Linked DNA regions of Pelodiscus sinensis. The protein of the gene in region 3 interacts with the protein of the main gene of each other region in a biochemical or structural test. Links are inferred from orthologs where the notes say so. Each region holds a gene or a part of one and is shown on either strand. Other genes may lie near its edges.

Region 1 (3,745 bases), on a different chromosome or scaffold from region 3:
GTGTAGTTGTATATGAGTTGCTTAATGGTATTCTGGTTCTGAAGTTCATAGCATAAATAAAATCTTTGTCAATATCATAAAATAACTTAGTATATCTTAGCATAAAACCTTGAGCATAAACATCCCAAAATACAATAAATTTTTTTAAAAAAAGTTTTAATTAACCTTTTTGCTCTTTCATATTAAAGGTGTTTTAAACCAGAAACTACTAGTTGCAGTTTTAAAACTTCATGTTTGGTGCACTTCGAAAGTAACTCAACTGTGCAGCTTCTTAAATCTTCCTACATGGTTTTTAGTTCCTTTAGTGACATTTGCTTATAACTCTTTCAACACAGGTTCTGTTTTCATTCCCATGACTTTGCAGCCATAAAGTTAACTTCCTTCAGCCCTACACACCATGTTGTTCAATCTCAGTCTACCCATTTGACATCAGTTGTTTGTAATCCTTGCATCAGGTATAGGGATTTATTTCCTGACCAACCACTAAAGTATTTCAAAATTTCAGTGCAATTTTGTTCAATTAGTTTTCATCCAAATGCCATCACCGCTCAGGGAGATTAATCACTGGGACCCACTGATCCATGTAGCGACTTTCCCGGCAAAAGCAAATCAGCTGACTCAATGCTGGATCCTTCCATTGAGATGCATGGGGATTCTGGGGGGAAAAAAAAAAAAAAGCTTTTTAAAACAAAACTGAATGGTCTTAAAATCACTAATGCAAAAAGATAGTGCTACTAACTAATATACAACTAATATCCAAATGCAAAGCTGGGCTGGATCTTTCTCCTGATTTTAATTTGATACAAATAATTTAAAATCCTTTAGAGGTTTCTTGAAATCCTCTGGTATATACATGACTACACTGATAGGGATTCTTTTTAGTGTTCATGATACCGCATACACACACGTTCATAATCTGGTATATTTGAAACAATATTATATAGAGTAGGCCACAATTCCCATAGATTTCTGTCAGAGGTTCATGACAGTGTCAGGATATTGTAGAGCAGTTGTGGAAAATAGCTTCAAGAACATTACACTGCTCCTATGCTACCGCATCTAAACCTATAATCCAGAAATACAAAACAAACAGGTGGAACACTGCTTCAGATTACTTTTGTAACTCTTGTGCAGTATTGCACATAATGGGAATAATGAACATGTGTTTTGAGAATTATTTTGTATAGGGAAAAATATTGAAATAGGAGTTGCATGCACGTAAATTTACTCCACTTTTTAAGCAGAAAATTCTCTACCCTTTTTCCTGCTGTCTCGAAAGAGCAGGTAGATCATAGTTGAGTAATTACCTTATTTTTCTCCAGAGAAATTTACATGGTAGCTTTTGAGCATGGGTTAGAATTAAGAAATTATTACCAAAGTATTCAACCTTGCTGGAACTTTAAATGAAAAAATTCTTCTCACTCTAAAATCAACTACTCTGCACTATCTAATCTCTACTCTGAGCCAATTTGTAATAAGGAAAGAAAAATACAGGAGGCTGCTGCTGACAGGATCTAACATGTTTGAACATGTCCATAGCGGGAAGATCTTTTATGATCAAATCAGGAACAGCTCCGGTGCAATGACCTTAGTACAGGAAATAAAGTAGGGAAAAGGGCAGGATGGGTCTGATCCAAGTTCCAGGTCTGAGCACTCTCTCATCTGGGGGTGGCAAGTGTAAATTCAAACCCAGATTTGATTTATCTCAACAGCGAAGCCCATTGTAATAATGTGAGGAATAGGCCTCAGAGAGCCAGCCAAGCAGCAATAAGGGAATTCTGTGCCAGCCAGTCTTTTGTGCTCCTGTTATGGGGGAGGGAAAATGGAATTGTCACTTACTGTGACAAGCACACAGTGCAGGTCTGCAGGCTGCTCAGCTCCCCCATTCGCCCCCAGAAGCAGCAGCTCTGCCAACCGGCCTGGGTTGCTCACTCGCAGGATGTTAATGTCATTCTCACAGCAGAAAGCCTGGATCAAGGTGAAGTGGATTTGCAAAGCAACATCCCGATCATCCTCCTCGTCTGCAGCTAGCAAACAAAGCACCACATTATCCGGATCCCTGCAAGGGAAGAAACAACACAGACCGATTAGTCACAATGAATGCCCAATGTCATGTTTAACACGGACACACGCCAATGAAACAATACACAATGTCACAGCTTGGACACATGCAGAAGCTACTCTGTAAGGTGGATGGGGGTGGTGGTGGTAAGCAACCAGGGGCACAGGCATGTTCACAAGGTGAGAGCTGTCTACACACAGTATCTACAGACACATCCCTAGGTGCCTGCTGGCCGTGCCCACGGGGTGTCCCCCCTCCACCCAAGCACACACAGATGCTCCCCACTCTGCCCAGGCACGGGCTGAGGTGCTCTCCCCGCAACCAGGCATGAGGCGGGGACCCGCTCGCTCCACAGGCTGGCAGGGCAGCCGGCTGTGCCCCCCTTTGCCCGGGGGGCTACCAGACAGCAGCAGGGGGCCCCGGGCCGCTCACTCACACGTTGAGCAGCTTGGCAGCCTCGTAGACGCCGATGGTGACGCTCCTCTGGGTCAGAGCTTTGCTGAGAACTTCCTCCAGCGCGCTCCCCGCCGTCTCCATCCTGCGAGCAGCAAGCACAAGCCGAGGCCCCTGTCAGCCGGCCCGGCAGCAGCGCCCCGGCCCCGCGATCGGCTGACAGGCAGCGCCCCCCGCCCCCGTGCCGAGCCCCCCCCCCCCCCCCAGCCGCGGTACCTGCCCATCGCCTGCTGCTCTCGAGCCAGCTCCTCCAGAGTCATCGTGCAGCCGCAGGCGGCGCCGGCCGCAGCGTGCCCGCCCCGCCCCTCGCGACACACCGGCGGGGGCCCTGCCGCGACCCCTGCGCTGCCCCAGCTCCGGCTGCGCCGCCCGCACCCGCCAGCCGCGCCGCAGCAGCAGCCTCTGAGGGACAAAGGCGGCCGCGGCCGGGGTTATCCTGCCAACATCCAGCCAACCGTCTCCTTCCTCATTTGCATGCGGCCGCCCCATTGGGCCATGCAAATGTGGTTTCCCGGACTGCGTGTCCCCTTTGCCCGGGCCCCGCCGGCGAGAGGAGGTGGCCGGGCAGCCGGGCGCGTGACGACTGGGGCGTCTCTCTCGCCGATTGGCGGGGCTGGTGGGTTGGGAGGCGGGGTCTGCCCGGTGGCAGGGCGCTGCTGTCGATCATCCCTGCTGCTTGCTGCCTGTGTGGGCTGCTTCTAGTCGGTGCATCGCCCCCCCCCCGCTCCCCGTGTGTGTGTGGGGGGGGAGGGGCTGCCGTGCAAATCTGTTGCCAGGGCTAATGCTCGCAAAGCGCCTGGACAATAGTAGTGGTTAGTAAGCAGGTTAGGGGAAGCCAAGTGCAGCTGCTGGCGTGCAATGTGCAGCGAGGTGCTGCATGGCGCTGCACAGCGCAGCGTTTCAGTGACCCGACTCCCAGATGTCACAGTGCATGGGCTGGGAGGGACCTGGGTACTCAAGCCACCTTTGCTGCCCCATGACCTTTGGCATGCACGATAGGGCTGCGTTTGGAGGGGTGCTGTCCCCAGCACCCCTGGATTTCAGTGCAGCTGATGATTTACAAGGGCAAGTGGGGGGAGCCCAGCACCAGTGTTCCCGGTAAACTGTGTGCTTGTGTGTCTTGTTCAGGAGAGATTCAAAGGCCACCCAGCTGACTAGCAGAGTGCCCACAGGTAGGATTTTTGTTTCTACTGATGGTGCACATTCACACATGCCTTGGTGCACATACAA
Region 2 (3,745 bases), on a different chromosome or scaffold from region 3:
CTTGCCCTGCACCAACTGAAGGGACCACTGGGCCCTCCCTCTGCCTCTATAAACCATCAGCTCATTAGCTGATCCGATTCCCCCGGCTATTCCGGGCCCTGCTTGAGGCTCATCTCTGTGGGATTAATTAGCAAGGAGAACTACTCCGGAGACAGCAGGTGCTTGAAGAACCGTAGACCAGAGAAAGAAAATACAACCCAACAGTCATCGACCCTGCCGCAGGTACTGCGAGAGGGCTGGGGTGGGGAAGAAACCAGCTGCCCCAGGCCAACCTGCCTCAGGGCTGCCATAGTTCACTGGATTGCTAGGTGGGTGCACGCCAAGCTCTCGCTAGCCCTGCGTGGGGCAGCAGGCCATGCCTAGCGCTCAGCCCCACACCTGTGCTCACACAGATTAGGTAAGATTTCCTAGAGGGAACCGATTAGCAGTTACACTATCAGCTGGTGCTGGGTGAACACACCTGGGAGGTTCTTTTGCTAGGAAAGTTGAGGAGCTGCAGGCAGGGACTGAGGGAAAGTTCTGGGTCAGGACATGGGGGGATCTCAAAGTTTGGAGATCAAAATTTAGGCATTTGGACAGTTTGGGCCATTTTCATTACCTGGGGCAAAGCCTTGATACCAGGCCTGTTGTAGGGGACGGTCTGTGGTTTTGCCTCTCACTCACTGTCCCTCCCCCACCCGAGTGAGCAATCCACGAGTCTCAGCATCTGTTAACTTCACATGCAATCCCACCAGAGACTGACTCCACAAGCTGGCTCTCTGCGCTGCGCCCCCCCCCCCAGCGGATCAGTGGAACTCCCAGCTAAGGAGCAATGGAAGCCGTTCCTGGAGCAGCCAAAGTTGCTGCTGCAGGACAAGTCAGGGGCTTGGGGGCTGCTTGCTGACTTGCATGTTGTGCCCCCACTCAGTGGGCCCAAAGACCCTCCCCCCAGACATCCCGCAGGCCCAATTAGGACATTTTGATGCCACCCACTCCCCGCAGGTTTGCATGTGTATGGTAGCGGGCAGGAGGCTGCTGGGGGAAGCAGGGTGATTGTAGCCAGACAAGGGACTCAAAACAAAATAAAACAAAAAACAAAACAAAAATCACTCCACCTCCAAGCCCCAGCTGCAAATCTCGCTGAGGCACGTCACCCTCCCACTACCCCAGTGAACCTGGCCATTCTGCCTCATGGCATGGCTTTCTACTTGCCTGCTCCCAGGATCTCACCCACAGGTGCTGGGTTCTCATGGGAATGAGGAGGCTGGGGACAGCTTGGGGCAAACCAGAGAGCACTAAGCCTAGACTCCCACTGGCAAGTCAGGGCGGGGGCAAGGTGGGAGAAAGCCTCCCCCTCTTGAGGAAGCCTGAGACTGCAGCCCCCAAACATCAGGCCAGGCACTGTACCCTGCAGAGCCAGGTGGTGTCAGCAGTAACAGGGCCCATCCACCCCCATACAGGGAGGACTGCTACCCATCATGCTCAGTAGATGTCAAACCACTCTTACAACAGAAGCCTTCTCCTCAGGCCTGCTCGGAGCTGGAGACGGGACCTTGCCCTTGGGTGGGCTCCCAGCCACTGGCACATCCAGGGGGCGCACATACTCGGGGGCCTGAGGATTGGAGGTGTGAGTCCTGGAGCAGCCCTCAGTGCGGACAGAGAGCAACGTGGTCGCAGGCCTCCCATCCAGCGCAGGAGACACGTTGACCCTCCTGAGCGAAGTGCTCCGCTTCAGAGCCAAGTGCCCCAGGCCCAGCTTCTGGCTGCAGGATGGGCTGCGGTCCTGGAGCGTCAGGCGGCTGAGCACCGCGCTCGCCTCCTCCCCTCGTCCCCCTGCCTGGCTCAGGTCCCCAATGCTGATGGACTTGGAGCGGGCAAGGTTGCTCAGCCTACGCTCAGTGTCCCGTCCCACCAGTAACAAGGAGAAGGAGGCACTGCCTGACATGGTGCTAGCCTGTGGGGAGCTAGGCACCTTAACCGCATGGTCGGCCTTCACTGGCCCTCGCCTGGGCACCGAGCCACGCAGCATGTCACTGCGCTTCGAAGCGCGGCCCCTCTCGAGCTCCTGCTTCTTCCCCCGATCGTCCAGAGGGATGGGCCGGGGAGGCAGTGGGCGAATCTTGGGAGCCATGGAAAGCCCATTGGCCAGGGCAGGGGAGGCGGAGGCGTGGCGCTCCTGGCTCACGGCCCGGTGTCCATTCAGGAGCTTGGTGGTGGCCTTGGGCTGTGATGTGATGATCTGCTCTCTAGTCCGGCTGACCCGGTGTTCAGAGGCCTGGGGCATTGTAGAGACAATGGCAAGGAGAACTCTGGGGAGACAGAGGAGTCAACGCAGTGAGTCAAAGCCAAAGGCATGCTAACAGAGCACGGCTATCAGAGGCAAGACCCCAGACTGCCAGGCCCAGCTTGAGGAGGGCAGTGCAGTCTTGTGGGTTCAGCAAGGGAATGGGAGACCAGGCTCCAGGACAGCGGCACCAACTCTGTGTCACGCGAGTGAATTCTCTCTAACTCAAAGTTGACTAACTGCATTATAGGAAGCAGCAACCATCCTCTGCAGCAGCAGGTGCTGGTCACAGCTGAAGCATGGATGCTGGGCTGCATGGACCGGTGCTCAGAGGCAGCACAACTGGACGTACCTCTCACAAGCTGCGAGCGTCTCTTCCCCACCAGCACCAAGCTCACACCCCTCGGCGGTGGCTGTCCAGGTGGAGATTCCCATTGGCTGGGGCCCTAGAACACAAGATAGGATGATGCAGGCACAGGCTCCCATGGTAGTTTCATCCAGGACATCTGGCCACCAGAATCTCTGCAAAATCTTGAGAGGTGGCTGGGCCCAGAGTGGCTCAAACCAGTCCGTGTGCCCAGGGAAAGGGAGGAAGGGTCTCCAGTGAGACAGGCCCCATATGACTCCACCCACCAGAGTAGGATAGTGCACAGCTGGGCAGGAATGGCAGGGTATCCTCAGGAGGGTGAAGAGGGAAAGCCAGGCAGAGGCTCTCCCTATCCTGCAATACACCACCACCTCACACAGCAGAGAAAGAAGTGGCCGGGACTACCTGGAGGCAGCATCATGCCATCTACCCTCCTTTCTGCTCTGCTTCGAGGACAGTCACCCGAGACAGCCTTTCACTCCCCTTTCAGCAAGTTTTTAAGGCAGAGAGTTAACGGGCTCTGGTGCCTTCCAGCCAAGGATCCCAAGCTCCAGGCAGGTGTAACAAAGGATATGTTAACACTGCAGTTGAACCCCCTCCCCCCTCGGCTAGCCTGTGCCAACCGACTCAGGCTAAGGTGCTGCTGAACTGCAATGTGGAAGTGTAACTGTTTACATGGTTAACCAATGAGCTTGGGCATATCGATTAACATGCACGGTTACACACAGGGTGCGCGCACATGCGCACACACACCTTCCCCTCCCCCTGCTCCATGTAACCACGGACATTTTCAGTGGCTACCTGATTACATAATTAAACACATTTTAACATACCTAGTTCAGGCTCAGGCTGGAGCCCTGCCTGTAGAACCCTGCCAGAGCTGAGACTGCAGCCCAAGCCCAAATGTCAACACCACAGTTACGGAGCTCCGTTGCCCAAGCCCGGTGAGCTTGTATGAGCTGGCACAGACCTGCCATGCACATCTAATTGCACTGTTGACATACCCTCCGAGGCCTGGCCCTCTAACAGCAGCTTGGTCGTCTATGCAGAAGGAGCCATTGATCCTACTGCAGTTACTGAGCAGAGCCTACACTGCCAGGGGGCTCAGTGGGTGC
Region 3 (3,745 bases):
GTTACCTATGACAGCTCCTAGTCAGCAAGCAGCCACAGTGGGGGTGCTAAGGCAGGCTTCTTGCCTGTCCTGGAACTGCACATCACACCGCACCCAGAAGATGCCGGCACAGGCCCGGCTCCTAGGCAGGCAAGCATACTGCTCTTGCCCACAGACAACATTGCCCCACCCTGAGCTCTTGGTCAATGGAAGTGCAGAGCCAGTGTTTTTGGTGGGGGGCAGTATTCATAACCTAGTGGTCCTCTGCCTAGGAGCCAGATCTGCTGATGGCTGCTTCCAGGGCACAGTGCAGTACCAGGACAGGCAGGAAGCCAGCTTTAGTTCCCCTCCCACCCCCACTAGTCATCCTACAGCAAGGGGACCCAGTGCCTGACATTCAGTGGCCCAATACTGGATTGCAACTGGTAGTCTGAAAACCACTGCTCTAGACTAAAAAGAAGCCCTTTTTATTGTAGTATGGTGCTCAGAACTGAACACAATACTTCAGCCAGATCTTATCAATGTTGAGTGGGGTGGAAGAATTACATCTCGTGTCTTGAAATTTTTTTTTTAAATAGTGTAACAGCACTTTAAAGACTAACAAAACATGTAGATCTTGTGTCTTGTTTGGAACATTCCCACCAATACATCCCAGAATGGATTAAGCTGCCACCCCACAAGAAAACGTTTTAACACCTACGACATGTGAAAGCAATCTATATATAGAAGCTTTACAAGTTGTATTCACAATAGTGAGCTACTGACAAAGCAGCTTGGTGAATATTCCATGTCAGAGTATAATGCTTCAATACAAGAGTTGGATAATTATCTCAGATAATTTGTAGAATCTTTGTCTGATCATACCAAATAAAATGTGTTTGCCTCGCAAGTGTACAAGACTTCTTTACCTTAACACTGTGACCAGGAAGCCCATTGTGGTTCTCTTTACCATTTTTCTCCATGTTACCTAAATAGAGAACATTTAATTGCAGAGACATTATTAAATGGAAATTTTTATAAACAGAGCACCCTTCTTGTCACCCCCTACACTTCTTCCTCATGCCCCCCACCCCCTTACGTTCTGCTATCCTCATCCACACCACCACATCCAGTTTTCACACTCACGCTACTGGTAGTCTCCCACATCCGGTCCTGCTCAATCGCCTCTCGTTACCACCGGGAGAGTAGATGATGATGGTTCCCAGCCGCCAGAAAAATCCGAGTCTAGGAACCCCGTGTCCATTTCAGCTGCTCTTCCTCCTCGTACAACCCCCCGTCCCTGGATCCTGCCCCTCAAATCCAGCTCCTCGGACAACCCTCTCCCCCATTACAAGGCGTCACCTCCCCGCAGCTCCTGCTCACAAACTGCCTCAAAGGCAACTGCACAGGCCTCACAATTCCCCTTCTGCTGCAACGTTCGCCCACCTGCAGGAAACTCCCCGCCTGGGAAACCCTCCCTCGCTGCACCCCCTCCATAAACTGACCCCCCCCCCCGCTGCACCCCCTCCATAAACTGACCCCCCCGCTGCAACCCCTCCATAAACTCACCCTCTCCCCATCTGAGAAGCCCCCCCCCGCTGCAACCCCCCCAACTCACTCCCCCCCCACTCGAGAAGCCCCCGAACGCGGCCGCAATCGTACAGCCCCCAGGAAGCCCCGTTCCCCTCCGTCCCTACACTACAGCCCCCGAGGCGACCCCATCCCCAGCGCCCGAGGTCTCCTCACCGTCACCGCCGTCAGAGCAGTTTGAATTCAAACCGCCCTCCTAGCGATACCCTTTAAACCGCCGCCGCTCTCCATTGGCCCGACCAGCGCCCCGCCTCTGCTCCCCAGTCTCACCTCCCTCGCCGCGCAGCGTTGCCGGACACTAAACGCTGCTCGCCCCTGGCAGTGCTGCTGCACCACGGATGAAGCGTGTAGTCTCCAGTCACCCCCTGGGCAGGGCGGGATCCGGCTTCTGCTCAGCACTTTACCGCCTGTAACTAACTTAGCTCTCCCCCCGCACACACCGCGTAGTAGCGGTGAATAGCCCGTACAACAGATAATTAAACGATCGGCTGATGGAGATTTGGGTTTTTTTTTTGTTTAAGGTGCCCGCCCGCGGAGGCCCCCGACTGGTCTCGCTCAGCCACGTGAACACAAAGCGGCCTGTTACTCCAATCTGCTATTTTTAAAATTCAGATACATGATTGGCCTCCCCATCCCACGTGACCAGGGCCGCGGCCATTGGCTAACTTGAAGGGCGGGAAAAATCTTTGTGGAAGCGACGTGCTTGCGAGCTCACGCCCGCGCGGGGGTGGAGCTTCTTTTCAAAATGGTCGCCACGCTTCCCTCGCTGAGGGTCAGTTGGAAGCAACCATTTTAAAAAGACAACCCCCACACACACCAAACTTGGCAACTTCCACCCTCCCCCAAAATAAACCCTAGCGCGGGAAAACTGCAAGTCCAAATCCGCTGCTAGTAACTGCGTGGACAGGAGCTGGGCTGGAGAGACGCGATTTGCGTAAAGACCGAGCACGCGGTGATTGTGTAAAGTAAACTCCGTAACGGGCGCCTCCATCTACGAAACTAGCGGAAGAAGCGAGCGGCAACTGCTGCGTAAAGCACGCACGTCGCGTTAAACCCACCCTAGGGACTGCAAGGCGCGGCAGGCCGTGGGCACGCCTGCGCTCGAGCCGTGCCCGTGACGTGGGGACAGGCTCGCTCGGCGACCAGAGGCACGCTTCGGAACCAATCGGCGGGCGGCGCGGTTGAAGCGTAGCCAATCAGTGGCTCCTGGCCGGCCATTACGGCCCGGCGCAGAGAGCGTGCGCGGCGCGGCTGAGGGTGGAGACAGGGAAGGCTGCGCTAGACGGTGCTTAGACCCCCTGCTCTGGGGAGAGGGGCGGCTGTTGCCTTACGAGCGTGTCGCACCCGTGGCCGGGGACGTGGGATCCGTGGCCGTCGCGCGGGGACGTCAGGGGGTCACTGGGCAGCGTGTCGCGCCAGCGGTGACGTGCGGCCAGTGACGGGGCCCAGGGGGCTGTGAAGCGCAAACGCGAAGGAGACGCGGAGCCATCGTGTCGCACCGGCGGGGCCGTGGGCGCTCGAGCACCGACGCCAGCGGGCCGTTGGGCAGTGTCGTTGTACTTAGCGGTGAGGCGGCTCCCCTAGGACCGGGGCTGTCAAGGGGCCCTCGATCCATTGTGCGATCCGGCCTGAGGACAACGTGAGGCCTTTGGAGGCGTGTGCTCCAAGGCAGCTCCCCTTGCCCCCGCGCTCGTGAGGACAAGCGTGATTGTGGTCTCGGTGTGTGGCGCTGACGAGTGATCGATGGCGGCGAGGCCAGGTGTGAGGAGGCTGTCAGGCCGTCGCCTTCCCTCCGCCTGTGAAAGACGCCTGCTTCCCCGAGGCCTGAATAACGTGGGCCCCCTACCTCCTGAGCCACGGCCACTGCGGCTGCCTTTTCTAGAGGCTGAGGTGAGTTGGACCGCCTGTGGGGTGGGGTGGGGTGGGAGCTGTTCTTTTGGGATAGGCCCTCAGCTGATGCCCCCTGAAGTGCCTTGTCTGAAAGTGCCATCCTATTGTCGACTAAATTCTGCAGTCATCTTAGAGGCCTGGCTTCCTGCAAGGCTTGGGATGTGGGTGGCACATTGGCGATGTCATGCAGTATCCCTAGGCTTTCTAGTCTAGACCCAATAAAACGTAGCAGTTCTCCTGTCCAGTCTCCTGAGATCAAGCTGCTCTCACTCCATCAAAATAGGAATTGAACTCAAGGAGTTCTGAA

The links.
Region 1: the proteins of AURKA (region 3) and GADD45A form a complex in vitro, tested with the Homo sapiens proteins (2 studies listed by BioGRID). The link is inferred for Pelodiscus sinensis from reciprocal best matches to the Homo sapiens genes AURKA and GADD45A.
Region 2: the proteins of AURKA (region 3) and USP21 form a complex in vitro, tested with the Homo sapiens proteins (2 studies listed by BioGRID, with this or other methods). The link is inferred for Pelodiscus sinensis from reciprocal best matches to the Homo sapiens genes AURKA and USP21.

Annotation. Positions count from the first base shown.
Region 1 is NC_134719.1:19,582,771-19,586,515, reverse strand, and holds the start of GADD45A (growth arrest and DNA damage-inducible protein GADD45 alpha), read right to left. Parts: upstream 2,928-3,745; 5' UTR 2,776-2,927; coding exon 2,732-2,775; intron 2,601-2,731; coding exon 2,499-2,600; intron 2,060-2,498; coding exon 1,840-2,059; intron 656-1,839; coding exon 542-655; 3' UTR 1-541. UniProt on the Homo sapiens protein: In T-cells, functions as a regulator of p38 MAPKs by inhibiting p88 phosphorylation and activity.
Region 2 is NC_134734.1:13,517,274-13,521,018, reverse strand, and holds the start of USP21 (ubiquitin carboxyl-terminal hydrolase 21), read right to left. Parts: upstream 2,765-3,745; 5' UTR 2,750-2,764; coding exon 2,616-2,749; intron 2,289-2,615; coding exon 1,487-2,288; intron 1-1,486. UniProt on the Homo sapiens protein: Deubiquitinates histone H2A, a specific tag for epigenetic transcriptional repression, thereby acting as a coactivator.
Region 3 is NC_134728.1:15,109,392-15,113,136, reverse strand, and holds the start of AURKA (aurora kinase A), read right to left. Parts: upstream 2,179-3,745; 5' UTR 1,819-2,178; intron 1,792-1,818; exon of another isoform or gene 1,705-1,791; intron 1,408-1,704; exon of another isoform or gene 1,105-1,407; intron 947-1,104; 5' UTR 942-946; coding exon 888-941; intron 1-887. Other genes in the region: CSTF1 (cleavage stimulation factor subunit 1), read left to right, coding at 3,292-3,438. UniProt on the Homo sapiens protein: Mitotic serine/threonine kinase that contributes to the regulation of cell cycle progression.